Linked DNA regions of Oryctolagus cuniculus. The main gene of each other region encodes a partner of the protein of the gene in region 2 in a complex. Links are inferred from orthologs where the notes say so. Each region holds a gene or a part of one and is shown on either strand. Other genes may lie near its edges. The genes, in order: TAX1BP3 and KCNJ4.

Evidence for each region.
Region 1: the proteins of KCNJ4 (region 2) and TAX1BP3 are in contact, whole or in part, in a crystal structure (PDB 3GJ9), measured with the Homo sapiens proteins. The link is inferred for Oryctolagus cuniculus from reciprocal best matches to the Homo sapiens genes KCNJ4 and TAX1BP3. Residues at the interface, in NP_004972.1 of Homo sapiens: Arg440, Arg441, Glu442, Ser443, Ala444, Ile445; in NP_055419.1 of Homo sapiens: Leu27, Ile28, Leu29, Gly30, Phe31, Ser32, Ile33, Gly34, Gly35, Asp38, Gln39, Gln43, Asn44, Thr58, Arg59, His90, Asp91, Arg94, Leu97, Thr98.

What each region holds. Positions count from the first base shown.
Region 1 is NC_091448.1:48,979,324-48,993,705, reverse strand, and holds TAX1BP3 (tax1-binding protein 3), read left to right. Parts: upstream 1-5,897; 5' UTR 5,898-6,112; coding exon 6,113-6,151; intron 6,152-8,053; exon of another isoform or gene 8,054-8,226; intron 8,227-8,466; coding exon 8,467-8,586; intron 8,587-8,917; coding exon 8,918-8,995; intron 8,996-9,078; exon of another isoform or gene 9,079-9,244; coding exon 9,245-9,382; 3' UTR 9,383-10,193; downstream 10,194-14,382. Other genes in the region: EMC6 (ER membrane protein complex subunit 6), read right to left, coding at 5,171-5,551, 5,752-5,859; CTNS (cystinosin), read right to left, coding at 11,936-11,990, 12,322-12,436, 12,693-12,810, 14,132-14,302. UniProt on the Homo sapiens protein: May regulate a number of protein-protein interactions by competing for PDZ domain binding sites. Binds CTNNB1 and may thereby act as an inhibitor of the Wnt signaling pathway. Competes with LIN7A for KCNJ4 binding, and thereby promotes KCNJ4 internalization.
Region 2 is NC_091442.1:115,104,385-115,118,443, reverse strand, and holds the start of KCNJ4 (inward rectifier potassium channel 4), read left to right. Parts: upstream 1-7,099; 5' UTR 7,100-8,035; intron 8,036-14,059. UniProt on the Homo sapiens protein: Inward rectifier potassium channels are characterized by a greater tendency to allow potassium to flow into the cell rather than out of it.

The DNA.
Region 1 (14,382 bases), on a different chromosome or scaffold from region 2:
TGGAGGCCCCACCTCCCCCTGCCCACTCTCAGCCTTTGCTGCCCTGAAGCCTAGTAGAGGTGCAGCACCCTGGGCCCCACCCTCGTCGTGCGAAATCAGTGCGGTGCTTCCACAAGTGCATCTTAGTGTCGGGGAAGCCTGGTTCTGCGGGGTGCACAGGGCAGCCTTGTGGTGGGGCCGGTTCTGGGCCAGACTGACACACCTGCTGCCTTGAGACCAATAGCATCCCTCCCTGCTCCCACCCGGAAGTGGCTTTATGCTGAATTTATTGAAATTAAAATATTTCGACCAGGTGGTTTTACTTACAATGATTCAAAATTTATTTTTAAATTTTTCTTTATTTTCATTTTAATTGAAAGACAGCATGCGTGAGAAAGCAAACTTCCATCTGCTGGTTTACTCCCCTGTCTGGGGCTAGGCCAGGCTGAAGGCAGGAACCCCAAATTCAACCCATGTCTTCCACGTGGGTAGCGGAGACCCGCGTACTTGAGCCATCACCTGCTGTCTCTTAGGGTGTGCATTAGCAGGGACCTGGAGCTGGGATTGGAACCCAGGCACTGCCATGTGGGATGCAGGCATCCCAAGTGGTGTCTTTTTTTTTTTTTTTTTGACAGGCAGAGTGGACAGTGAGAGCGAGAGACAAAGGTCTTCCTTTGCCATTGGTTCACCCTCCAATGGCCGCCACGGCTGGTGCACTGCGGCCGGCGCACTGCGCTGATCCAAAGGCAGGAGCCAGGTACTTCTCCTGGTCTCCCATGGGGTGCAGGGCCCTAGCACTTGGGCCATCCTCCACTGCACTCCCTGGCCACAGCAGAGAGCTGGCCTGGAAGAGGGGCAACCGGGACAGAATCCGGCGCCCCGACCGGGACTAGAACCTGGTGTGCCGGCGCCACAAGGTGGAGGATTAGCCTAGTGAGCCGCGGCGCCGGCCCCAAATGGTGTCTTAATGCTGTGCCAAACACACCGCCCCTGGTGATTCCACGTTGAAGGGTAGGAAAGCGCAGGCAATGAGGCATCCCCACCTGCTCTGCAGGGCTCCCCTGCGTGGCTGAGGCTCTCCTCGGTTAGCTGCGGGAAATCAAAGTTTCCAGATGGTTCCTGATGGCTACACCTGTCTGAAGCAGACATTGGGTAAGCTTCAGTATAGGGCATGGAGAGCTGGCTGGCCGGCTTCTCCCTTTGCCACGGTGTCTGAGGCTTCCCCGTGCAATCCCGAGTGAGGAAGCTGGAGCTTGTGTCTTGCTGCGGGCCCGGACGGGCTGACGGGCCAGGCAGAGAGCAGGGACTGCCCAGGCACTGGGTCTGAGCCACTTCTTGGCTAGTGGGGCCGTCCTTGTTGGCAACGGTGCTCTCAGTGCACAGAAGGGGCGGTGAGCATCCTTCCCCTGGGGCCTGGCAGAGAGGCGTGGTGCCCAGAGCAGAGTAGCCCCTTCCTAACCTTGGGGTGGCTGGGATCCTGTCCGTGAGCCCAACCTGCTGAGTACACAGTGAGAAATCTGGGTGACCCAGAGAGCAAACCCTTGGGTTTTATGGGCTAGCTTTGTTCATGTTTGGGAGGAAGTTCAAAGGGCAGGGGTCACGGCTGCCGAGGGACTGGTCTGCTTTCTCCTAACCTGGTTTCAGGAAGGCGTGGCAGCAGCCATTTAACCTGGAGATGGCTCTGGGTGGTCATTCGTTTGGTCAATCAGGATTTAGGACGTGTCTGTCCTGTGTCATGTGTGGACTCGTGTCAGCGCAAGCCTTACTCGGGTGGCCAACCCATCCTGCAGCCGGGATAGGGTGCTTTGTGTTCAGCCGGCAGTGCCCAGACGGGGCTTCCAGGTCGTGTAGAGGTTGAAGTCTGGAAGGTGACGGGCCATTCTAGTGAGGGGCTACCTGTGCGTGAAGGCGCTCTGACCCCGAGACGAGCAGCTGAGGAGCGGGGTGAAGGCACTCCGCTGCAGTAGGTTGTGTGAGACTTCCTTTTCAATGCTGGCTTTTTTTTTTTTTTTGATAGGCAGAGTGGACAGTGAGAGAGAGACAGAGAGAGAAAGGTCTTCCTTTGCCGTTGGTTCACCCTCCAATGGCCGCCGCTGCAGCCGGCGCACCGCGCTGATCCGATGGCAGGAGCCAGGATCCAGGTGCTTTTCCTGGTCTCCCATGGGGTGCAGGGCCCAAGCACCTGGGCCATCCTCCACTGCACTCCCTGGCCACAGCAGAGGGCTGGCCTGGAAGAGGGGCAACCGGGACAGAATCCGGCGCCCCGACCGGGACTAGAACCCGGTGTGCTGGCGCCGCAAGGTGGAGGATTAGCCTAGTGAGCCACGGCGCCGGCTAATGCTGGCTTTTTAATTTCTTTAGAAAGATTCATTTATTTGAAAGGCAGAGCAACAGGAAGAGGGAGAGGGAGAGAATGTTCCATCCACCGGTTTGTTCCACAGATGGCCTCAGCAGCTGGGGCTGGGCCAGGCCAAAGCCAGGAGCCCAGAACCCCATCTGGGGTGTTCTGCTGCCTGCCCAGGTGCATTAGCAGAGTGGACTGAAAGTGGAGCAGCTGGGACTGGAACTATCGCTCCAATATGGAACGGAGACACTCAGGCGTGGCTTAATGTGCTGCACCACAATGGCTGCCCCCAGGTTCAGCGTTCATTTGGCAAGGGTTGCCCCGGAAACCTACTGCCTTGGAGGACTTATTCAACCTCATTGTTTCCTCAAGGCCAGCCCAGCCTTCCAGGCGGCCTCTACTGCGTGTCCAGGGCCCCTGGCTCTGAGATGCTTGCGGCCCTGTCCCAGCCCACGGGCAGTGCTGCACTGTGCCCGCGTCTCACCTTTCCCCTGCACAATCTCACTGATCTACAGACTGGCCGCTAGGGGGCAGACGTGAGGCAGGAGCGGCATTGCTCAAGCCCTGTTCACTCTGGGCCCACACTGCTTCCCGGGAGGGCGAGAGCTCCCGCCCCTCAGGAGCTCCTCCCGCATCTGTGTATCGCCTGAGTGTCACGCTTGAGCCCAGCCTACGCCTGCCCACCTGGTATTTTCCTAGAGATTGAGAAATGCCTTTGGGCGCACCCTGGCTGGTGGGAGACTTGTACACTGGGTGGGCTCCGTATGACATGACGGGGACCCAGCTGAGAGAGAGCCAAGTGCCCTGGCCCTGATGCTGGGGTCTTCCTCCTTCCTCCGCGGGAACAGCTGTGAAGGGGGAGCAAGATCTCTGGGTGTCAGAGCAGCCAGCCAGTGCTCCCACATCGCGCCACGTGGAAAGGCGTCTTCAACGTCTGGGAGGGCTCCTTCTGGTCTAAGCCACCCCCTCCCTAGAGCTGCAGCTCCCCTCAGGGCAGTCACCTGGGGCCCCAGGAACACCTGTTCTCCCCTTTCTGCCTGCTGTCCCCCGAGGCCAGGGAAGGCGGCAGAGACCGTGGGGGGCGTCCAAGATGTGCATTCTCGGATACTTTCATGTAATTCTAAAACAATAAATAAAAGATGTCCATTTTAAACCTGGCCTGATTTTAGAAGAAGAGACTGAAAGAGGCAGACCCAACAGTGAGTAAGCACTGTAGCATGTTCCTCATTATCTGGCAGAGAAATTCAAACTCAAGCGTGGAAACCCTTGAAATGGGCCTATGTTATGCGTGAAGACTGGGAAGGCACGGGTCAAACTGACACTTTTCAATCAACGAGTAGAAGCTGGTGACTCCGGAACCCAGCTTTTAGCCTGTGCCCGGGCGGCCTGTTAAATCCCCTCAAAATGCTGCGAACCGGAAGGCACTCAGTGCCCAACAGGGCAGGGTCTGCTCAAGGCCAGGCTTCCTGCCGCCTCTGCCTCAGGACTGGCTCTCCCTCCCCCTCCAACGCCTGGAGAGAGGGGCAGGCGGGCAGACCTGAACCGGGCGCTTCAGGGGTGGACGGAGGAGCAGCTCCTTGGCTTTGTGCCGAGCCTTTGGCCTGGGGCCCGGACGGAATTCAGGCCGGGTCCCAGATCCCCTTCCATGGTCGGCCGGGGCCACCTAGGCTCAGTAAATGAAACGGGCGCTTGGGTCCAGGCTCTTGAATTCCTGTCCCATCTAATGATGAGACAGCCCCTCCCCTCCAGGCTGCAGACGCAGCGGTGTCTGCTGCCGCGGTCCTGGGCCTCCACGTCCCCCTGGGCTGGGCCAGGGCCCTACCACTCTCTCCTGATACCACTCACCACAGAGAGTATTGCTCTCCCCAGGCAGACTATCAATTCTTGCAGCAACCTGTTCATTACTGCGACTCTGGAGCAGTATTTACTTCTCGATTAGGCACTCGCACTTAAGATAACCCTCCTGAAAAGAAAGGTGATGGATTAACACAGGCAGAGGTATCCCCATGTTAAAACACCCAGTTTAGCTTGGATTTGCTTTTTCTTATGGGAAAGGCAGCACAGTGTCGCCAGGTGAAAGGGATCTGAAGTGACACAGTTCTCCCTCCAGGCACACTCGGCCAACGAGAGCAAGTTACGAGACCAAGGCCTGACACCTGGCCCTGGGCCTTCCCAGCGAGCAGCATTTCTGGTCCTCACTGAGCCCCAGCCACAGCAGCCCCTTAGTGAGGCAGTAGACTGCCAGGAGCAAGGGGGCTAGAGGCCGGCGCTGTGGGTTAAAGCCCCGGCCTGCAGCGCCAGCATCCCCTGTGGGCGCCGGTTCCAGTCCCGGCTGCCCGACTTCCAACCCAGGTCCCTGGGAAAGCAGCATGCACCCGGAGACCCAGAAGAGGCTCCAGGTCAGCTCCAGCTGCTGCGTCCATAAAAGGGAGTGATAAATAGTGGATGGAAGATCTTTCTCTCTCTCCCTCCCCCTCCCCTCACTTCCCTCCCTCTCCCCCCTCTTCCCTCCCTGTAACAAATTAAAAAAATAAACAGAATCGAGTGAGATCAAAGCCCACCCAGCACTACCATGCCGTCTATAGCTCCTAGACGCTACCCCAAGCTGGCCAGGTTAGCGCCCAGTCCCCAGCCCCCACCTGTTCGGCTTCCGCACCCAGCCCGTGCGCTAGAGGAGGAGAGAGGGTCCAACAAAGCGTCTCACACTTCATTTAATCTGAAAACATTACGGGCTCGTCGTCCTCAGAGATAAGTTATGTATAACGTTACAGAACAAGCAGCGAACTCAACACTTTGAAAACCTCGGCGAGTCTACGCGGAGCGCCGCCGACCGGGTCCCGCCCTCGCTCAGTAGACGTGCACCATGCCGTAGAGGAAGGTCCAGAAGAGGACGTAGGTGAAGAGGCCTCCGATGAGGCCGCCCGTGAAGAGCGGCCGCCGCGACTTGAAGTACTTGTTCCACCGCCTGCCCGCCTTGAGGATCAGGAGCAGGGAGAGCAGGACGGAGGCGAGCAGGTAGAAGATGAAGCCGTAGAGGCCGGTGAGGCCGAGGATGCCGGCCGTGGCCCCCGACAGCGCCGACACCGAGGTCCGGCAGTAGTCCAGCACGGCCGCGTTGCCCCGCACGGCTGCCTCGCTGATGAACGGCGGCCCTTCCCTCTTGCCCACCACCGCGGCCATCGCACCCGCCGGGGCTCGGCCTGGGCTCTCTCGCGGAACGAGGCGCGGCTGTGGGGAAAACCGAGTTACAAGTGGCGCCCGGAGCGCGGCGAGTAGGGTCCATGGCCTCCCCCTCCCCCTGGGGCTTCCGAGACCTGGCGCTAGTCCTGGATCTCCGTCTCCCCAAAGACGCCGAGGACGCTGACGGCTCTTGCCGGCCGGGAGAACGGGGACACGCCTGTGTCCCCTAGCCAGGAGAGCCCCGTTACCTGGAACACGGCGGGCGGATAGTCCCAGCGTTCCCTCACACAGGAAGCAGGACAGACCCCCGGGACGCCATCTTGTGCTGGAGGATGCTGGGAGGGCCCGTTACGCATGCGCGCTGGCTCAACTACGCCTCTCGCGCCTGCGCGCCGGGCACGCTCCACCCTCTCCCCGCTTTTCTACGCACGCTCCGGGACTTCCGAAAGCCGAACAGCGCTCCGGCCGGTGATTGGCTGGAGATCTGTTAACTATTCATAAGGGGGCGTGCCCAGCCAGGGTGCCTTTGTTAACCAGGGAGGGAGCGGCCGCGGCAATCCCAGCTGCGGGCTTCGCTGAGCGGTCCCCGGTTACCAGATTGGGATCGAGATGTCCTACATCCCGGGCCAGCCGGTCACTGCGGTGGTGGTGAGTGTACTCGCGCGGGCTCTTTTTCGTCTCGACTTGCCCCCATTTTTCAGAGCGGTAAACTGACACCCAGTCAGGTTGCAAAGCAGCGAACCGGGGCGGGGGCCCGTGCAAACCCGCTGTCAGGGCTCGGGTCTCTGCAGGAGCGCGGCCGCAGCCTCCTCCGGCCACGAAGCTCATTCTGGGGGCTAGGAGCCTCCCGAGGCTCCAGACGGAGGCCAGACTCCGCGCACCGTCGCCCAAGAGGCAGGCTGCTTTGGCCTGCCGGCGCGGGGAGCACGGGGGAGCAAGGCTCCGGATGCGGGCGTCTGGGAAAGCGCCCCTTCGCAGGGCTTCGGTGCCCCCAGCTGGGCAGCCGCGGGGGGCGGGCGCCGGCCCGACGTCCGTGAGTCGCAGCCTCTGGAATGAGGAAGTGCTTCCTCCGCTCCAGCCGGCGCCACCGCCCCGAGGAGCGAGATTTGGGGGTGGGGCTGGCCGGAGGGAGGCCCCTGCCCCATTGGAGTGAATGCGCACCCTACCAGCCAGATCCTTTTCTCAGCTGCTGGATCCCCAGCCCTTGGGGCCAGGGGCAGGTCTCCCGCCTGGCACTTTCGGCGCACCGTGTGCCAGGTGCTGTCAGAACAGGCGAAGGGAGAAAGGGAGCTGACACCCACACGTCTGTGTCCCAGCTGAGTAGGCCCTGGAGGCCACCCCCTCCCCCTCCCGCAGAGTCCCAGAAAGAAGTCCGGTTACGCCCAGCCATAAAGGAAGCCGCCAGGAAGGACCCAGGTCTCCTGCCCAGCTCCCCAGAGGTTTCCGCCTGTGAGAGGTCAAGCCAAAGTCCCAGCCCTGGAGCCGCAGGGACTGGCTGTGCTATCTCCCATGGGCTCCTGCAGCCAGGCAAAGAGGCTGCTGATAAAGGTGGCACGAGGGTGAACTTGGAGAAGGCCCTGCTTAGCTACTGACAGCCGTCCTGAGCCTCACCCTGCGGGCACCAGCTTAGCTCTGCAGAGCCCAACAGCTGCCCAGAGGCTAGGGGTCAGCTTTGCTTCTCAAGTGGAATAAAGGTGGTGCAAGGGAGGGGCCAGAGAGCACCCAGCGAGGCAGTGCCAGAGCCCTCCCACCTCAAGGGCTGTGCGCTTTTCTCCCTTGAGGGCATGTGCTGGAGGAGGTGGGATGGACCTGCAGGAGCCCTCTTTTGGGTACTGGACCCAGTGGGCCTCAGGGTTCATGCTTCCTCCTCCCCACCCCATGCCACAGGTGGGCCCAAGGTCTTCCTTCAGGCTGTAAGACTATGCCGCGCCCAGGTCTGCAGCACCAGGAGCCGCCTGGGTGGGCCTGGCCTCTCCCTGACCATCTGCCTCCTGGACACCTTCCCGGATGGCTCCTAGCACTCCAGCCCCACCTGCTCCTTCTCCTGGGTCCCCCCATTGGAATGTTGCCGTGTTCAGCATTCCTGTCCCCAGGCTTCCACCCCAGCCTCTGAGGCACCTGCTCTGACTGCCCAAGTAGTTGTTCTAGCCTCAAACTTGACCATGCCCTGTCCTACTCCCCAAGCCTGGTCAGCTCCCCTGGGTTCCAGGGTCAAGGCCAGGCAGCCAAACTCCTGATCATCCTCTCAAGTCCTGGTTCAAAATGATCCCTCCTTGGTGAAGCCTCCTCAGGGCCGAGCAAGTCACCTTCCCTCCCCCCCAGCTCCCAGCTTTGATCTGGTGTGGCTCCCAGCAGTGACTTGAGGGTGCCTGCTGAAGGCTCTGAGCACCCCAGCCCCAGAGCATGTTGGGAGAGCCCCAGAACACTTCTCTGCCACCTGCACTGTGCATGAGCAGGGCCCGGGGCTCCAGGAGACCCCTGACCTCATCTGGGACCAGTCTGGTGGTCCTGCATCCCAGACTTCTCTGTCTGGCACCAGCCCCATCTCACCTTGCAGGTGCCAGTGTCACAAACGTCCAGCATCTGCAGTCCTCTTCTGTCCCCGGCTGATCTGCTCCACTTTGTCCCAGCACCTCCTGCCTTGCTTGTGACAGGCTGGCTCCCAACGGCAGTGTCACCTTTTCAGGGCCTGGCCCTTCCCACCCCGTGTCCTAGGTGGAGCCCTGGCTCATAGGCCAGGAGGGGCTGTGAGCACTTGTGACTAAGACTGGCACCTGAGACTGGGAAGGGGGAAAGTGGAGGGCAGGACTGGGTGAGGGGGTCAGCCTCCAGGGCTGGGGACCAGCTGCATTCCTGTAGGGGACTCCGGGCCCCACCCCTTGGCACGGCTCGGAGCTGGCCTGGCACTACCAGAGGCCTTCTCTACATGCCCACCTAAGCCAGCTTCCTTTTTTGTTTGCCAGCAAAGAGTTGAAATTCACAAGCTGCGTCAAGGGGAGAACTTAATCCTGGGCTTCAGCATTGGAGGGGGCATTGACCAGGATCCCTCCCAGAACCCCTTCTCGGAGGACAAGACAGACAAGGTGAGGGGGACCGGAGGCCTGAGAGGGTGGGCACTGCTTCCTGGGCCTGTGTGGGAAGAGCAGACCCCATCTCAGAGGGTCCAGGAAATGATCGGCTGGGAAAGAGTAGGGGTGGAGGTCGGTCTGCCCAGCTGCCCAGGAGGAGCGGGAGGTGGCCCTCAGCCAGGGCTGGGGCATCCCTGGTTGCTTGGCATAGCCTTCACCAGCTGTGTGCCAGGGGAGGCTGGGGACAGGGACAGAGGGACAGCTATGGGTGTGCTATACTGGGCCTCCTCTGTGTATGAGAGCCAGTCCAGGGGCCACAGGGCCTGACCCAGGCTTCTCTTCCCAGGGCATTTATGTCACACGGGTGTCTGAAGGAGGCCCTGCTGAAATTGCTGGCCTGCAGATTGGAGACAAGATCATGCAGGTAACAGGTGTCCCAGAGGAGGAAAACATGGCTGGGGCTAGAGGGGTTGAAACACTTGTGGGTGGGGGCTGGGAGACACTCACCAAAGCCCTTTGGAGCCCATGCTGGTACTGCCCCGGAGGAAGCCGGCTCTCCTCTGTGTACTTCAGGGACGCTAGGTGGAGGGGTGACCCAGGCCTCTTAAAGCCCCCTGGCCTCTAGATGTCAGAGGGCAGTGGGCTGAGCTGGGCTGTTCTCTCCGTGGGCCAGGTGAACGGCTGGGACATGACCATGGTCACACACGACCAGGCCCGGAAGCGGCTCACCAAGCGGTCGGAGGAGGTGGTGCGCTTGCTGGTGACGCGGCAGTCGCTGCAGAAGGCCGTGCAGCAGTCCATGCTCTCCTAGCAGCCCGCCAGGCTCCCTGGCTCGTGCCTGTTTGTATAGCGACACCACTACCCACGCGCTATCTGTCCCACGTCCCGCCTGTGGCTGAATGCTGAGCCGCAGCTGATCCCAGAGGCCTGATCCCGCCTCCCTGTCACACTCCCGCCCCCAGCCCGAGGCCTCTGGGACCAGCTGGCTCCCTCGGAAACTGAGGGCTGGGAAGAAGGGTCTGGGGCCAAGTGGCTTCCAGGCTGCAGTGACCCTAGGCTCAGCCCCCAGACCCTGCTGCCTGCACAGCAGTGCCCCAGGGAAGCCGGAAAGACTTCCTGAGAGCCGCCAAAGCTGGGGAAGGCTGGTGGGGGGACGCCTTTCCCACCCTGCCCTGCCTCCCGTGTCACCTCCGCAGTGCCTGCGCCCCACACTTTCTCCGTGTTGTCCACTAGGGGCTGGACCCATGCTGCCAGAGGCACTGGGAAGGCCTGCCCCAGGGGAGGCAGGCAGGCCCCTTGTTCACCCCACTTCCCAGGGGTGGCCTCCCTGGGGCCTGCCTGCCTGCAGGATTTAGCAGAGCTCTGAGGCGGACATCTCAGGATTGCCACTGTCCTCCACGCCTGTGGGTTTAACTTTTGTATTTTTTTAGTCCAACTTTGATACAAAGCCTTTTTATTGTACTGTTTGGAGATGCCCACTCTGCTCTGTAATTTAGCTTACTAATTCACATCCAGGGCAGCTCCTAGCAAGTGGACAGGCCTCACTCTGGTTACCATGGAAACGGGGCTGGAGGCCACTGTTCCACCTCTGACATCTGCCCAATAAACAACGCTGGAATCCATGAGAGCTCTTTGCCAGGGCTGGGGGCGTGGTGTGTGCGGGTGGCTCAGGGCGAGCACAGGGTGGCTGGCTTGTCCCTGGCTGCTCTGAGGCAAGAAGACAAGGCCCGACCATTCCCAGGTCCTCTTGCCAGGGAAGCCGAGCTGGTGGGACCTTGGAGCTTCAGTGGGAACCGCTGTAGCAGGCAAGGACCACATCTGGATGCACCTGCACTGGAACTGGGGTGGGGGCCGGGACTGGCCCCTGAATGCCTGAAACCCGCCTGTGTAATTCAGTTTCAGCTCCCACCTGGGCTGCACCTCGTACACCCAGGGGGTCTTGGGAAACATGCCCCAGCCAGGACACAACCCCAGATGTCACCAGGGGCTGAGGTCTGGCCAGTTGGGTCCAAGCAGAGTACCCAGCCCCCTGCCTACCAGCCCTGGGAAGTTGTGGCCATTCCTGGATCCGTCTCGCACTGCCAGGTGTGATTCTTAAAGGAGAGTCAAGATTCTGAGATCTTTTAAAGCGTATACAGACATGGCAGGCTGGCTGTCATCTTCGGCATGTGTTACAGCTGGACAAGGATCTGCAGAGCAAGGCCTCCACTGCTGGGCTCCCAGGGGCAGCACGCCCTCCATACCTCACCCGCCCCTGCTTACACCCATAGCACAAGCAGCAGGCCGTGGTACCTGTGAGACCTACCTGGCCCTGGGTGTGCAGGCGTCTTGCACTGCCCAAGAGGGCTCCATGATGAATGATGTGCAGGGTCAGCACTCGGCCATGTTGGGTCAGCAAACTTCACAGCCCTATGCGTTGCCTTACACGAGGCAAACAGGGCGTCTCCCTAAGCCCCAAGGACTTGGCCCTGCAGGTCCCACACCTGCCTTGGAAACTCATGAGTGCTTAGAGTGCGCAGAAAACAAACAGGTCAGGTTTAATCGAGGGCATGGGCCCCTCACAGGGATTTTGTAGTAAAAAGAGTGGATTGACAAGCTCAAGGCACCTCCTGGGACCCTCCCCCCTCCATTCCACCCACCACAAAGATCAGCTTGGCTGGGAAGGGAGGGGCTGTGCCAGGGGTAGGCCCGTGGAGACTGAGTGACTTGGGCTCAAGTTCTAACTGAAGGCTCCTGAACAGCACAAAAGGGGTCTCAGGTAGGGTCTGGGGGATATGAGGGCAGGGGGCCTTCCCCTCACTCCAGGAGTGCTACTCAGGTAGGTCTGACAGGTCCTAAGGCACAGACTGGCGGAGACAGGGGCAGTAAGGCATGCGCCCATGGGGCCCCCGGGCTCGGGGAAAGTAGAGGTAGGAGAGAGGGCGGAACCAAGTCAGCCACTTGTGAAACCTCCCTCGCCCAGGGCTGGAAGGAGTTAGTGTGATAGGCTCACTGTGGGGTAGACGGCCAGAGGATGCTGGCCTGAGTCCAGTTCTGAGCCAACCCATGGGCAGCTCGGGGCTGGGAAATACTCTATCAGGCCCTGGCCCGAGCCACTGCTGCTGCAGTGGAGGGAGCCGAGTTAGGCAGAAACAGTGTCAGGAAAAGTGACCTTCAGCCCGAGCAGCCCAAGGCCTAACCCCGAAGTCCTGGCCCCTCCGCCACCAGCACCAGCACCTCAGTCCGTCGGCCACAGCATCTGACCACTGGGTCTCTGAGAACAGCGGTGGCAGCAAGGCACCCTTGGCTGTGCCGGCTGTAAGGCCAGCCCTTCACGCTGCTCCCAGAAACAATGGCTGTTTGGGGCAAGGCCTCCACTGCAAGCTCAGCGCCCAGTCGTGCCTGAGATGGCTGCCAGACCTGTGGGTGCTGCCTGAAGCCTTAAAGAAAACAGAGATGGTGGCATCAAGATGCAGGAGGGCCAGCAGCATGGCCAGGGAGGCCTGCGGAAGGCTGGAGACCTCCGGGGAGGCTGGCAAGGACCGCCTGAGGGCTGGCTGTTGATCTCTGACCAGAGTCTGGCGTCTGTCTGTCCCCGAGGGAGGGCCTGGATGCAGGAGGGCTGGTTCAAGTTTAAGGTCTTGGGCCCTCAGGGAAAGTGCTCCTCCAGCCAGCATACTGGCCAGCTCTGCGCACCAGCCCACTCCTCTGGCCTTCACTGGGCCAGGCCTTCCCCACCAGGTCCCTGGGCGCTAGTTCAGCTGGTCGTACCCCGGTTTCTTTCTGTACAAGCAGAAGTGCTGGATGAAGAAGACGACATCGAAGAAGATGGAGAAGACGCCAAGTCCAAACTTGGTTGGGTCTCCGAAGATCAAGGTCCATTGGTCTGTAACAGCCAGAGGGGACAGAACCTGGTTCTAGACTGGCAGCTCCGGAAGCAGCCGGAGTGCAGGGCCGGGGCGGGGAGAGGGTCCTCCCCTGCCCAGGAAACCAAATCCTCAGCTACAAAGGCCCCTGTGGGAGTCTCTCCTGGAGGGGGGTGGCAGGGCTGGGATCGGCTTGGAACCAGGCTGCAGGGCTGGTGGGAAGGGGGTCCCCGGAAGCCAGGCCCCCCCGTGCCTGCAGCCCACTGGGTGACTCACCATTGTTGTAGGACTGGAGGAACATCTGGAGGAGGCTGAAGCTGCCCCCGGTGAAGTCCAGGAGCACATTGCCAATGCTCCAGCCCTCGGTGCTTTTGTAGTAAAAGTTCATGTAGGCCTGGGCCAGACAGACAGAGGCGGTGAGGGGGCTGGGTGGCTGCCGCCTGTGCCTTGTGACTGCTGCTCCAAACAAGAGTGGCTCTAATTCCTCCCACACGTGTGCTTGGCCTTGGCTCCAACAAACACAGTGACCTTTGGGCTGTGACGAGCCTCGGCCGAGGGGACAGTCTGGGTGGTCCTGGCGTGCACAGCAGGCAAACGCCCTCCTCCAGGCCCCCCTGCCCCTCACAACTGGTGGAGGCAGGGGCGGATGCCACCTTCTGTCCTGCTCCCTTGTGGACCAAGCTGTCTGCTGGTCTCCTGTCTCCTGACTCCACACACGTGCAGCTGCACTCTCCCCGCACTCAGCCCGCACCGCACACTTCCCACTGTGGCGTCCCGTTCCATCCTGGACAAGCTGCTGAGTTCTCCTAGACTTAGTTTCCCCATCTGCAGAGTGGAGCTGATGCCCACTTCGGCCTGGCTGGGCTAGTAGCTGGACCAGCTTTAACATCCCCTTCTTCCTGCTGCCTCTCCAAACCATGCTGCCTTCTGGGTCTCCCTGACGGGTGCCCTCTCCCTCCCTCCAGCCTAGGAGGGAAGTCTGGGCCCCTTTGCTGGTCTTCTCCCAGTCAGGCTCCTGGCCTTGTCTGCTCCCAGCCTCTTCCGTACCTGCTGCTGCCTCTGCAGGCCCGGATGATTCCAGACCTCTCCAGCTGGGTTCCTTCTTCCCTGGGGCTGAGGACTTAGTTCACCCAATGCCTTCCCCTGCCCAGGAGCCCTCCCAAGACCCCTGAGACCTGGCCCTCCCCAGCTCCAACACTGTCAATGCTGCTGGGCCAGCCCTGCTCCCTGCTGCCTCCCGCACTTCTGCCTGTGCCTCTGTGCAGGCTAACCCTGTCCGTCCCTGCCCCCAGCCTGGACTGCCTGCCTGGCTCCCCTCCTGTTCATAGGATTACGTTCTGCTGGCCCTCAGGGTCTAGCCCTGTGCCTGGCCAACACTCCTTCCTTCCTGAGCCCACGGAGCACAAGGTTCCCAGCGCTGGGGTAGCTGAGAACGGAGCTTTCCCACTGGGAATGGGGCAAGTTAAAAGAGGCTTGTGGTTCACAGGTGGGAGTCTGCGGTTGGCTGCTGCTTCTCTTGGGGGAAGATGTATTTGACTCTTAAGTCCCTGGACCTGAGTGGGACTGAGCACTCAGGAGGAGGCTGAGGGCCCTCCCAGGAGGAACCCTCTGTACAGGAGGTGCTTGTCGGGGTGCCCCACTGGGGTTCCCTGCCTCCTGTGGCTTCAGCTCTCCCCGCACCACCATGTGAAAATGCAGGAGGGCCCTGCGAGTACCTGTGGGAAATACTTGACCAGCGTGACCGCGAGCTTGATGTAGGAGAAGCAGAAGAGAAACTGCAGCCACGTGGTGGCCCCAACCGCGGCCACAATCATGGTGATGAATGCGAAGAGCCAGGAGAGCAGCAGGAAGCCAATGGCTGGCTTGGACACGCGCTGGCCGCCTCTCTGGGAAGGGTGAGGGTAGAATTGCAGATTAGAGTGATGACTCAGGAGGGGACGGCTTAGAAACTGGGTGGATGATGGGC
Region 2 (14,059 bases):
GGCCCAGAGGGGTTAACTTGCTTGAGGTCACACAGCCACTGGGCAGTCCTGGAGCCTGACTCTGGTGGCCATGGCGGGTGACAAGCTCCCTGTCCTGAGAGGTGGGTGAATGGGCTGGGGGGTGCCCATTTGTTAGGGGCTCAGCCCCAGGAGTCCCTGCCCAGGCAGGGAGGCCGTGATCACCCAGCCCTCACGCACGGACCCTCTCTGGGGTGCAGGTGGGCTGGGCAGGTCCCCGCCGTTCAGCTTGGATCCTGCTCTTGCAGGTGCCGGCTCCTAAGGCCCAGGGAGGTGAGTGAGGGGCACAGACCCAGGCCCTGTTCTGAGCAGACCCCTCTGTCCCCCGCGTCACCCACCCGGCTCTGCCCAGATGCCTCCCATGCGCGGGAGAAGGCGGTGGCTGTTTAAATCCTCAGGTGCGGTTCTCTGGCATCTGCCGCTGGCATCTGCGCTCGGCGCCCACCTCCTCCCCAGGCCCAGGAAAAGCACGCGCACTTGCCATTTGGTGAAACGTCTGTCCTGCCGGGAAGCGGCTCCACCTGGCACCGGGCGGCTTGGGTGCCATGGCTGAAAGGAGGCTGGAATGCCCCCCCTCCTTTCCCCGGCGGGGGGACCACAGGAGGCCTGGCAGAGGCCCGGGCCCTCAGAGGAGTGACCACCACGGCGGTGGAGGAGCAGGAAGCCGGGCTGGCGGCCCTGGGGCCTGAACCTTGCCCGGAGCCTGCCGCCGCGGCTGGAGCCGTCCATGCTCCCTCCCAGGGCCTCAGTGTCCCCATCTGTGCAATGGGGAAACAGTGGCAGACGTCCCCCTGACTGCCCGCGCGGAGCTCCTTGCCTGCGCGTCCCTGGTTTCCCGTGAGGCTGAAACCAAACCTCCTTTACAGAGGACGAAACTGAAGCCCAAGTTTCTCTCTTGCTCCTCCGAACTCGCGGAGACGCCCGATCCCCAGCCCTGTCTCCAGCGGGAGCATTTTCAGAGCAGCCCTGGGAAAGGCGAGACCCCCTGGACTCACCAACCCCTTCGCTCTCGCCCCTGCACCCTCATTCGGGTGGATCCGGGCAAATCTCACCCATTGGAGCCCCAACTTCCTACCACCCAAAAACATGCCTGCCGCAGGGTTGCAAATGAGGGGACGCCCACCCGGAGGGGCCCGATTCCTCCAGCTCAAAGAGCAGGGGTGGTTCACTGCCCGTTAACCAAGCAAACTGTGCGAAGTCGGAGGATTTACCGCAGGGAAGACAGGAGACTCGCTCATTACAGAAACATCATGTGCCCATGACCTTTCTTTCGCTCTGGTCCTAACTGTTGTATTTCACCCCTGTGTTTCACATCCCGCAAACCTCCTGGGATTCTGGGTGGGAGGAAATAAGGGTGAAAAAGTGAAAAGCCAGCCCCACCCTGGACGCCATCGGGGGGGGGGGGCTCTCCCCAGGGGAGCTGTGGCCCAGCCTCCCGGAACTCCGCGGAGGTCCCTGGAGGCCACCAAGTTGTCGTCTGGCCTGGTGAGGAGTGGCCTGGGTCCGGCCCTTCTCCTGAATAGGGGCGGCTGCGGGCAGCAGATCTGCCTCTCCCTAGGGGCAGGCAAAACTTTTTTTAAAGATTTATTTATTTGAAAAGCAGAGTTATGGAGAGGCAGAGGCAGAGAGAGAGAGAGAGAGAGAGAGAGAGAGAGAGAGAGAGACAGGTCTTCCATCCGCTGGTTCATGCCTCAGATGGCCGCAATGGCCAGGGCTGAGCTGATCCAAAGCCAGGAGCCAGGTGCTTCCTTCTGGTCTCCCATGCGGGTGCAGGGGCCCAAGCATTTGGGCCATCCTCCACTGCTTTCCCAGGCCACAGCAGAGAGCTGGACCGGAAGAGAAGCAACCAGGACTAGAACCCGGCACCCATATGGGATGCCGGTGCCGCAGGCAGAGGATTAACCTAGTGTGCCACCGTGGCAGCCCCGGGGGTCGAAACTCTTTGAGTGACCCTCGCTGACCAGTTTTCAGAGCCAGGAGCCCAGCGTCGGTGGCCAGCGCATTCACGGAGTGCCAAGAGCCCCAGGGACCCTGTGGGAAGCGGATGCTTTGGCAAGGCTGGGACGTGGCAGCTGGGAGCAAGGACCTCCGGTCGCATCGAAGATCACAAGGCGGGGGGGGGGGGGACTTCAGGGAAGGAATCCCCTAGCTGGTTTTGAAGAGTGTGTAGGAGTTTACCGCAAGGACAAAAGTGGGAGGAAGCAGGAAAGCCCCAAGGTGCCTAGGTGAAAGGGGCCAAGGGTTGGGAGAAGGAAAAGATGGAATTGGGAACTCCAGCTCCTCGCTGCGTGCTGTGCCAGCATCTCTCAGAGTCTCCCAAGGGTCACCTGAGTGTAGACCCAGTACTGACCACACAGGGTCAGAGGCAGCCGCGTGTCTGGGGCTCTTTGCAAGGCGTGGGCCACGCAGCAAGTGTCAGATCCAGCGCGCCGCCGGAGACAGGTGTCTTCCCGAGACCCCCAGCGCCGCTCTCCGCGCGGGCTGGCGGCTCCTGCCCAGCGCGGGAGCCTGGAGACGTGCGCAGAGCGCTCGGGCCCTGGCGGAGTTCCCACGGCAACCGCAAGCCACTCTCCGCGTCTCCCGAGTGACGAGGCGCGGGTGAAGACTCGGAGCCGGGATTCCTGGACTGGAGCCTCCCCGGAGCGAGGCTGGCGAGAGATCGCGCGGGCCGCGCGTGGACGGACCGCCTCGGCCGCCTGTGTCCTTGCGCTGGCTTTCGGAGGGCGTCTGGCGAGCGCGCTCCCCGCCCTGCCTGTGGCCACGCGCCGCCGTGCTTGCCTGGGGATTCAGGTGGTGGGATGGAGGCTTTGGCTGTTCCCCCCACCACAGGGCAAACCAGGGGCAAAGCCAGGCCCTGGCCGGGGTGGCCACGCGGGGCTGGAGGCTGGCACTGCCTGGGGTTCTGGTTCCAGCCCTATCAGTGACCCCTGTGTGTTCTTGACGTCCCCATCTCCTCTCTGGGCCTGGCCATCCCACAGTAGCTGTTCCCTGGTGGATGAAACAGGAGCGTAATAGCTACCTGTAAGCCTGCAGAGTGCCGGGCACACGTCATGGACCAGCACAGTCGCCCCCCTATTGCCGTCTTGCCCTCTACATCGTCCCAGCCCCAGGCAGCCTGGGTGGCAGCCGGGGTCTCAGAACTGCGTGCCCAGAGCTTGCAGCTCTGCCGGTGAGAGTCGGCGCCGCACCCCTTCCTGGGCGCCCTGGGTCTCAGACTTAGAGGGGCCCACAGGGGCCCAACCCCGCGTCCACCTGTCTGTCCACTTCCTCCCCATCCTCCACCCCACCCCCGCCATGCTGGGAGCATAGGAGTCCCCCGCTAAGTGAGGATGTCAGGCAGTCTCAGGACATGGCCCCCGACGGCCTCCATCAGGGTCCTGAGTTCCACATACTGGGCAAGGGTTTGGGACACCTGTGCCTCTATGGGCGTGTGTGTGTACAGGACTGGCGTGCACAGACCGGTGTGTGTGTGTGTGTGTGTGTGTGTGCGTGTGCGAGCGTGCTTGGGATGTGTAATGTAATATGTACATGTGGCTTTGTGCACCTGGCGCAGATGTGTCTGCTGGTGTGTGTGCACACTAGGCGGGCACGTGCGGGGCTGTACCGCAGCGTGCACAGGTGCAGGTGTGTAACTGAAGATTGCAGTGGCGCGCGCGGGGGGTGCACTGAGGGTCTCCCCTCATCTGGCCCAGGTGACAGACATGCCCAGGTCAGCCCCTGCCCGTGCCTCGGCCCTGTGGCTGCCCACATCTTGGGTGGGGGAGCCTGGGGCAAGGCTCCTGTGCCACCCCCCCTTTCCCACACAGCAGGAGCATCAGCAGGAAAGGTTGGTGGAGGGGGCTATTTTGGGAGCGTCTCCTTAGCAACAGCTGCCGCGGCCGTCTGTGGCAGTTTTTCTATAGGTGCTAAAATATTCCACCCTGGTGACTACTGAGTGCTGAGGGGTGGGCGAGGGTGGGGGTGGGGGGTGGGAGCGACCCCTAGGTCGGTCCTCCAGCCCCAGCGAGCAGCCCACGGGCTGAGTCCTGGCTCCTGGACCCCCAGTGGCCCCGTCCCCACCTCTCGACCTCAGTTGCAGACCCGTGGGGCCGCGGGAGCTCCGAGGCAAGCCAGCTGCGCCCTGGTCGGATTTCTGATCCAAGCAGCTGAGGGCCTCTGCAGAGCCGGCTGGGCGGCACCTCGGGGGAGAAACCTCTGGACTTTGTGACGGCCGCTCCAAGCGCCCGTCCCTCCCCTCCCCGGCTGCCCCCTCCCTCCACTCCCCGCAGCCCGCTGGCTGCACAGCCCAGTGGGACTCAGGAGGCCGGAGCAGACTCCCAGACTGAGCTGGTCAGCAGGTGCTCGGCCAGCCGGGAACCTTTCCCTGGAAACCAGGAACGCACCCGGTGCGAATCCCGACACAGACACTTGCTTCCTGCCTGCGTGAGCCCCAGCAAACACGCCCTCTGTGTGCCAGCTCAGTGTCCTCACCCATGCAGTGTGGTTGCTCCAGCCTCTGCTCACAGAGTGGCCGCGAGGACTGACGGGAGGCGGCAAACATCCAGAGGGAGGAAGCCTCTGCAGCATCTCACTGAGCCTCCGAGCCCGGAGCGCTCTTCAGAGAGCTGTCCGGGGCCGCCCAGGTGACACCGCTCACAACAAGGCTACCTGTGCCTCAGTTTCCCCATTTGGTAACAAGGGTCTGTGTCACAGAGCCCCTGTAATGGATTCAGTGAGGGGTGGCACTGTGCACTGTGGCGTAGGGGGTAAAGCTGCTGCCTGCAGTGCCGGCATCCCATATGAGTGTTGGTTCGAGTCCCGGCTGCTCCTCTTCCGATCCAGCTCCCTGCTGTGGCCTGGGAAAGCAGTAGAAGACGGCCCAAGTCCTCGGGCCCCTGCACCCACATGGGAGACCCGGAGGAAGCTCCTGGCTCCTGATTGGCACAGCTCTGGCCATTGCAGCCATTTGGGGAGTGAACCAGCGGCTAGAAGACCTTTCTTTCTCTCTGTCTCTCTGTCTGTAACTCTGCCTTTCAAATAAATAAGTAAATCTTTTTAAAGAAGTGTATACACTTTCACCTATATTTTTAAAAAAAAAGATTCCGTGAAGCAGTGGCTGCGAGGGTCTCAGATAGAGCTGGGCTCACAGCTCGCGTCCACTGGAGGCTGGCCCGCCTCTCTCCGCCCAGGGGTGACCCTGTGCTGGGTGATGACAAAGTTTCCTTGCCCTATGCGTGTGCACCCCAGACTGTCCCCTTACAGCTGAGGCCTCTGACATACAGAGAGGAGTAGCGACTTGCCCAGGGTCACAGGGCTCCCTCCCTCCTTCCCTCCCTCCCTCCCTCTCTGTCTGTCTGTCTCTCTCTCTCTCACACACACACACACGGGCATCTGCACCCCTGTTTCACGCCATCCATTCTCACCACCTCCTGCCTCGCACAGGTTGGAGGCCACTCACTCATCAGATGGACAATGGCAAAGTCTCCCTTTCATCTTTCCCCACTCTCAGATCAGCCACTCCTTCCCAGGTTACACACGGGGAAACTGAGGCCAGGTCACAGAGGGCTCCGTGGTGGAGGAGGGACCTCCCCTGGGGTCCCTGAGCCCCCTCCTGCCTGCAGCTGCCTGTCCCCACCTCCTCCCAGTCCATGGCCACAGGACTGAGCAGCTGCCCCCAGGGTAGCCAGCAAGGTGAGCATCCCTCCGCCCAGCCCCGACTCCTGCCCAGTGACCAAGCAGCGGAGGACTGAGCCCGTGAGACAACGCCCTGTTCCACTCTCCCCCTCCTCCACAGGTCATCTGCCTCGGCGCATCGGCCTGCCCGCAAACCACGGGAAGGTGTGCTAGGAGCGCACGTCAGGTTGCTGGAGCCCCCCTCCCATCTGCTCACCCAGGAGCAGCATGATGTGGCAGCATCAGGCCCCCCTGGTGTCTGCCTGTGACAGGCGCGGGACCAGAGGAGCCCTGTGGACGCCTGCGCGGAGAAGGGACAGCACGTTTGCTAAGCACTTACTATGAGCTGCACATTAACCTGCCTCTGCAGGAGGGGGAGGGGAGGGCCCCCATTTTGCAGACAGGTCCAGTCAAGTCTCTCTCAAGGTCACGCAGAGGTCCTTTGGAGCCCAGGCTGGCCTGTCTGCTAAGCTCACCAAGCCAGAGCCATGCCCATGCCCAGCCTGGGGCCTGGCACGCAGTGAATGACCTCTCTGAGGGCATCGGGAGGGCCTCTCTGGGAAGGGGCACGGGGCTGGGCTTGGAGAAGAGCAGGGGTTCTCAGGGGAAGGCGGTGGGGGTCCCTGCGCGTGTGGGCCCCTGGCTCTGGGAGCTGTGGGGACCAGGGTGTCCGTGTGGGCATGCAGCCGGCAGGGCTTGGGGCTGGGTCCTCTGGGGTGGGGGAAGGGAAAGGTCACGACCCTGGTGCTCCGTGTGACCTGTGCTGGACTCCCCCCTGGGCTTCAGCTTGGAGTAGAAGCCAGACTGCATTTCAGAGCCAGCCAGCTCTCCGCTAGCCACCCCAGTCTCCCTGTCTGCTCTGGGGCGCCAGGGCGGCTCTCCTGGCTGTCTACCCCCAGGGGTCCTCTCTCTGCCACCCTGGGGGGAGCAGGACTCTGGCCCGGCTCCTGAAAGGAGCGGCTGGAGGGTCCCCGGAGTGCCTGGGGAGCCGGACCGGCTCGCTGGCAGTGGGGCCGGGTGGCAGGGTGTGGACCCTCCTTTACGAAGACCGCTGAGTAAGACGGGTTTGGGGGGACCGCAGACGACACGGGCCTGGCGTTTGGCCACGTCTGGGTGACCTTGGGAGCTCTGACCCGCTGGTTGTCACTCTCCCGGCCCTGGCGCTGCCGAGACGGTGGTGAGGGTCCCTCCAGGAGGGCTGCCCGACCTCCCAGAGGAGGTGCGCAGGGCTCCTCACTGTCCGGTCTTTGGGACGGAACGGGGAGCGCCAAGAGGAGGGGGCCGGGCCCACGGGACTCCAGACTGGCCGGCTCCCACCCACCCGCTCCAGGCTCGGAGGAACCCTCCCCACCTGCCCCTGGGGGGGCTACAAAACCCGGGAGCGGATTCTCGGAGCGGCTTCTGGGAGGAGCGCTCCCGGGGCGAGGAGGAAAACCCGCGCAGGATCTCGGGCAGGAGCGGGGCACGCAGCCCCCCAGCCCCTGCCCCCGGCCGGCGCCGCAGGCCCCGCGGGAGCGGGTTGCATGCCCGCGTAGACTGAGCGAGCCGGGCCGGGTCGGGCCCCGCGGGCCGCCGGGGCTCCGGGCCGGGCGCGTGGCCTCCGCAGCGGGGCGCGGGTCACGTGTGAGGAGGGGCGAAAGTCTCGCAAAGCGGGCGGCAGGCGGCGAGTTGGGAGTTCTCGGCGCGCCGCGGGCCGGGAGCTCGGGCTCCAGGAGAGCCGGGGACGCGGCGGCGGAGCGGGGCGGGGGAGAGCGCCGGGCGCGGGGCGCGGAGGGGACGCTGGAGACGCGCGGGGGAGACAGGCGCGGCAGAGGCGGGGGCGCGGGGGAGACGGAGACCCGGACCTCGCGGGCAGAGCGCGGGAGGCGGGCGGCGCCGCGAGAGGGCAGAGACCCCCGCGCAGCCGGAGCGAAGCCGGGAGCAGCAGCGGCAGGGGGCGGCCGAGCCCGCGGCGGGAGCGGGAGGGTGACCCCAGGCCGGCGGCGGAGCGGGCAGCGCGCGCCAGCGGGACCCGGTGACCGACAGAGCTCTCGGCGGGGGCGGCCGAGGCGCGGCGGCGGGGCCGGGCGCCCCCGGAGCCCCGCGCTTTGAGCCCGCACCCGGGGCCGGATGATGCTGACGCCCCGGCTGCGCCGAGGGCGCGGCGCGGGGCAGCGCTGAAAGTTGGGTGGCCCGCGGGGAGCGGCGCAGGACGGCGCGGAGGTCCCGAGACCCACGCACGGACCGACCGCAGCCGGGGAGGGCGCGGGCCGGTCGGCCGCGTCCGCGGGGAGCCGCGCCGGGACTCCCCGCTGCCCGCGCGGACGCCGTGGGATGTAGCGCCCGCTCACCGCCGCCCGGACACCGTCGGACCCTCAACCCCGGGGTAAGCCGGGCGCGCGCCCTCCGCGGCCGCTGTCCGTCCGTCTGTCCTGCCGCGTGCGTGTCTGTCTGTCCCAGCCCGGCCGCTCTGGCCCCCACGGCTCTTCAACTTGTCCCTGACCTGGGTCCCGGCGCGCGTTTGGCGCGGTCCCGTGACTTCCCAGGAGCTAGCGGGCTGTCCGCGTGTCCGTCGAGAGCGTGGCGGTCTGGGTGGCGGCTGGGGAGGTGACTGGAGGAGACCCTGACCTCCTGGCCGGCCAGTGACCCTTTCCCGCCTCCGCCCACCCCCACCTCCCCAACCCCCACTGTCAGACCCAGAGCTTCAAGGCAGGTGACTGGGGCAAGGGGGTGGAGGTGGGGGTGTCTCCTTCCCACCTCCCCCCACCTGGCACGTTTGAGCACCTGCTGTGTGCCGGGCCACTCCAGGGCAGACGGGCAGGGACCCACAGTTCACAGGGTGGGAACCGAGGCTGGGCAGAGGGAGAAGTGGTGCTTCCGTCACGCAGGCAAGAGAGGTGTGAGACTCCCCCCACCTGCAGAACGGGCCCCCACCCACACTCCTGTGCCCTGCCCAGGCTGCAGGGCCCGGCGCCCAGGTTCAGTTCACCATGGAGGGCTTCCGGAGCAGTGGGTTGGCAGCAGCAGGTGGGGGGAACCCAGAGGGGCTGCAGCCGTTCGTGTGTGTGTGTGTGTGTGTGTGACATCCCCTCCTCCACACATACAGTCCGGTGCCCTCCAGGGCTCTAGGGTTTGGGGGCCTGAGGGGCCCCGGAGTCACATGGTGGCCCTGCCTGGCCTGCGCTGGCTGGAACAAATGGAAGAGGGGTGCGAGGGGCCCGAGCAGAGGCTGTCAGCCTGCCTGGGTGGATCCACATCCACGCTGGAGCCGGGAGGGCTGAGTCTGGAACATTCGACTCTGTTCCAAGGTGTGGGGGGGCCCTCTGTGGGGTTGTCTACACTGGGCAGAGAGCCTCATATACCCTGCATTCGGGTTCCTGAAGTGAGCTCAGCTGCTGAGATGGAGTGCCCTGGGCGAGCCACTTCCCTCCCTGACTCTCAACTTCCAAATCTGTGGAATGGGGTCATTGCTCCGCGCCCCACTGCCCTCCACTGGGGGGCGCTGGGCTGGGGAGTGGCTGGGCGGGTGGGAGTAAGGATTTTTTTCCTTTAGGGGCCGAGCAGCTCGTGGCCAGGGGCAGGGTGAAGGGACACTGCCCTAGGACAGGAGTGTCCAGGAATCAGAGGGACCTGTGGCTTGGGAGCCGTACCTCGTGGACCCTTGGGTTCCCCTTGAAAAGGGTCCTCTCCCGAGAAGGTGGAGCTGTCCGAGGTGACTCAGAGCTGGGTTAGGGTTTCTGCTGGCTGTCCTTGGGCAGCTGGCTTGACCTCTCTGAGCCTGGGGAACTGGACCTGGACGGACTTCGAGCTGCGCGCACGAGGCCGCAGGCTGGCAGCATCTTCGCGGATGTGTGCGGGAACTCTGGGCGAAGCAGCCCTGGGAGATGCTGCGAAAAGATTTCTGTGCTTTAGGCTAAGCGGGAGGGGGCAGGAGCCGTGTGGGCTCACAGGGCGGCTGCTTCTTAATGTGGATCTGGGGGAGGCGGGGGCGAGTGCCAAGGGGGGTGTGAGGAGGAGGGGCCCCTCTGCGGGGACTACTGAGTCACGAGGACAGGGACGCGACATGACAACCAGCAACATGGTAACCAGGAAACTAGCGGCGGTGGGAAACGGAGCCGGAGCGCGTGTTGGGGGGTGCGGGTGCGGGGCAGCGCTGGCTGGAGGGTCCCTGCAGCAGCCCGCCGGCTTCCCCCAGACAGGAAGGGAGGCCCGGAGACCCGGTGGGCCGGGGAGGAGCTGGGGGCCCGAGTGGAGGGAGGGGTCCGCAGGGCAGGGGGCTTCTCCTGCCTCCCAGGCTCCTCTTCTCCTCCACATCTCCGCTTTTCATGCCTCTCCCCCCCAGGATGCCAAATTTGGCTCACGCAATCTGTCGTCTCTCTTCTGAGATTGGCACCGGGACGAACGCCGAGCGCATTACATCACCGCTGCTCCCCTGCACGAGGGAGCGGGAGGCGAAGGGCCGGGGCCGGGGCCGGCGGCCAGCCCCCAACTTTCTCTCCCGTCTTCCTGTCTCCTCTTCCCACCTCCGCTGTAGGTGGTGGGATCTTGGGAGGCAGCTGGCTGCGGCGCAGGGCCCAGAGGCAGGACGAGGGGCGGGCAGTCAGGCCGTGGCGCTGCCCCCTGGCTGTGGTTGGTGGCCACCTCGGGCAGGGTCCACATCTGTGTAGAGAGCAGCCGGCCACGCCTGCAGTGCCCGCTCCCTGGGCGCAGAGGAGGCAGCCCTGGGTGTGAAACTGCTGTCCGTGACCTTGAGCAAGCCGCTGCACCTGCTTCTGCCTCAGGCTCCCCAGCGGTACAATGGGAACCCTAGAAGCCCTAGCGGCAACCCCCCCCCGCAGGGCAGGCGTGAAAGAGGGGACGGAACAGGCGGGGAGTAGGGGACAGACCCACAGGCACTGCAGGGGGCAGGGGAGACGGAGCAAAGGGGTCTTAACTGAGACAGGTGGCTTGGAGCTTCAGTCACTGGTGCCTCCCCGGCCAGGGTCACGGTGATGGTTTCAGGTGGAGGAAGCAGAGGCAGGCCTGAGTGCAGGAAGCGGACAGACAGCGCACCTGCTCCGAGGGAGGGACTCCTTTCAGGCTCACCTGAAGCCAGCCTCAGTCCCAGGCAGGGACAGGTTGCACTGGGGGTTAAGCTGGGTGGTTGTGGTTCATTCTAGAAAGTTCCCTGCACTGGAGGTAGAGAAAGATGGGGAGCCGCCGTGGCTGCTCTGGGAAAGAGGGGGCTGCTCGTTCCTGGAGCCGTGCCAGCAGGACCAGAGGCGCACCTGCCAGCCAGCCTGGTCAGCTGACGCCTGCTTCATGGGCAAGGCTGAATGACATTCCCACCTACAGGCTCCTGGGAGACTTTGATGTCCCCAAAGGAGGAGCTGGGACATAGCACCCACCACGCACCTGCTCCCCGGCCGGAACCCTCACGCTGTCCCACCAGGCACCGGGCCAGGAGGTTTTGCAAATTCTTTCATCGTCCCTGCAACACCCGCAGGGTTGATCTGAAATCCCCGAGTAGTTACAGACTCTTCCCAGGGTCACACAGCAAGGAAGCCGAGGGGTCCGGACCTGAGCTCAGATCCGCCTGGTTCTGGGGGAGGGGGCTGCCTCCGGGAAAGAGCGGGAGATGCTCCTCCCCCAGGCCTCGGTGTGGCCAAGAGGGTCTGCTCGCCCCCACAGCGCATCACCTGTGCAGGGATCCTCTGGGGGCTCCCACCCCACCCCCTGCTCTAAAGACAGAGCCACACGGGAGGGGAGAGCTCATTTTACAGATGGCAAGGCTGAGGCTCAAAGACAAGGCAAGTCCTGTCCCACGGTGCCCAGAGAGTCCTACTGGACGCGGCCCGGGGCGCCGTGCCCTGCACCACTGGGCAGTGACATCTTTGGGATGAGGGTGGGGCTTGGGGCACAGAGGGCTGAGGAGGGCCAGCTCCAGGCGAGGGCTGCCTGTGCGAACAGGCAGAGAAGCCGGCAGGGACAGCAGGTGTCACACACACACACACACACACACACACCCGCCCTGCTGAGGTCACAGGAAGCTGAGTGTGACACCTGCCTGCCAGGAGGGGGTCCTGAGTAGCCTTGAGTGCGGTTCCCCGGGTGACCCTGCGGCAGTCCCTCACCCTCTCCGCGCTTGGTCCGCCGTGGGACAGAGGAGCTGCCGAGGCGCCGTCCCACGCTCACGAGGCCCCTGGGCCCTGGCGAGGGGCGGGCGGGAAGCCTGGATGCTGGCGTAACCTTTAAGCCTCCTGGGCGGCCCCAGCGCTCCTTGGGGCGTGGGGGCAACTGCGGGCTCAGCCCTCCTTCTCTTTCTCATCTTTATTTTTCTGCTGCTCCCTCTCCCCTGGCTACGTGGGCCGATCTCTGCTCAAACTTTTAATTCAGATGGTAATTGGAATAATAATATGGGCTGAGTCCCCTCTGCTTGTGACGCCGCAGCTGGCGGAGCACGGCTATGAATAGACTTTGAGTCACACACGCGCGCTCCTGCAGGCGCGCACTCGGCGCTCACAGCCTGGTGGGCGGGGTGCAGCGTGGGGGCAGGGGCTCACGCTCCGCCTGGCTCTGGGTCTTGCTCCCCCAGCTGCTGGGGTGCCCTGGCCAGCACTGCCCTGTGTTGACCTGGAAGACGTGGGGTATCGGTGGTTCTCCTCGTCTGCAGAAGGGGAAACTGAGGCTCAGCAACGGGGGTGGGGGTGGGGTGCCGGCCCCACGGAACAGCTGGAAGGTGTCTGGACTCCATCTCCATGGGTGGGTTCTGCCTGGTGCCTTTGCAGGCTGTGGTGAGGAAAATAAACCGAGGCTCCCTGGGGAGCAAGAGTTGCCCAAAACCTCAGGGGAGGAAGCAGCCACATGCCCCCGTTGGACTGTGCACCCGGCCGCGGCCACGCCGGGAGCCCCGGGGGGCTCCTGTCTCTCCCTGTGACAGTTTACCTGCTCTCTGGCCAGTCCTCGGCCAGCGTGGTACCAGCATGTGGCTCCTGTGGCCTCGGTGGGCCTGAGAAGTGGGCTCTGGCGGATGGAGGAGAGTCCTCCATGGGTTCTCGGTGTTCCCACCCCCAACAGGAGCTGTGCGGGGAGAAGGTGGCGTTGTCATGGTGACCTGTCAGCCGGGAGCCGCGGTGGAGGCCTGCCCAGGTGGGCCGTGGCGGGGTGCAGTTGGACCTCTGTGTGTGGGGGGGCAGCTCAGGACTGGGACAAAGGAGAAAGCCCCCCAGCTTTCCCAGGGGCCCTGTGTGCTCTGCATCTGCATTTTCTAGTCCTTCTCCGGGCACTGTGGAGAGGCCACGGGGCTTTGCCCAAGGTCACAGTGATGGTGGCAGAGTGGGGGCTGGACCAAAGCCAAGGGCCACTCCCTCTGCTCCTCTCTCTCTAGGGCACCCCCTGTCTTTGGGGCTTGGAGGGGACCCCCAACTCCTGGGAAAACCCCAGGTTGCAGCCCCTTATCACAGCCAGAAGAGGAAGGTGCTCAGCCACTCACTGACCTGCGTGACCTTGACCAGGTCACGGTCCCCGCCCCCCCCCCAGCTCTCTTGGCCCCTCCCTGGCTTTTTCCTTCTGCTGCTCTGTCTGCGGCCACCCCAGCTCCCCCCAGGCCACAGGCGTGGAAGGGGACCCCAGCTTGGCCAGAGAGGAGGGGGACACGCCTGCTGTGGGAAGCTGATGCCATTCGGCTGGAGGGAGAGTGAGGCCCAGGGGAGGGGTCTGCTCAACCCCTCTGGGGCCACCCTGCCCCCTCCCCTGCCGCCCAGCCTCGAGGACAGACAGGACTGGACTCCGGGGCCGACCAGGGGAGGTGGCAGACACAGGCCGGAGGGGTGGCCAGTGTAGTCCCAGTCAAGGCCCATGGATGGGGGACAGAAGGACTGGGTTCGAGTCCAGCCCCACCGCTGAGCAGCTGTGTCACCTTGGCCAGGTTTTCCGCCTCGGCGAGCCTCCGAGCCCGAGCCGCGGGGGCAGCCTTGTGTCCCTGCGTCTGCAGCTTGCTGGGAGGACCCGGGAGTCTGCACGGGGGCCGGGGCTGCCGCCCTACTCAGTGGCCACCGAGTCCCAGCCCCCCACTCACCGGCCCTGACCCTCAGACACTGTGCCTCTGGACAGCTCCTGTGTCGGCGCGCGGCCTCCCCCGGCCCCAGGCCGTAGGGCAGGCGGGGCACCAGGCCAGGCTGTGCAGCTGCAGACCCCGAGGCCACCTGGCTTTCCAAAGAGCCTCTCGCTGTCTGGGCTCTGGGGCCGTCCCCCTGAGAGTAGGCGGCGAGTGAGCAGTGCAGGAGAGGGAACAGGTGGGTGGGGGTCCGTGCTGTCCTGGGTCCTTGAGGGGACAGGCCGGAGCACAGAAAGGAGCATGGCCAGCCAGCACGGGAGCTGCCAGCTGCGTGGACTGCACGGCACCGCCTCCCTCCTCACAAGCAGGCGGGCC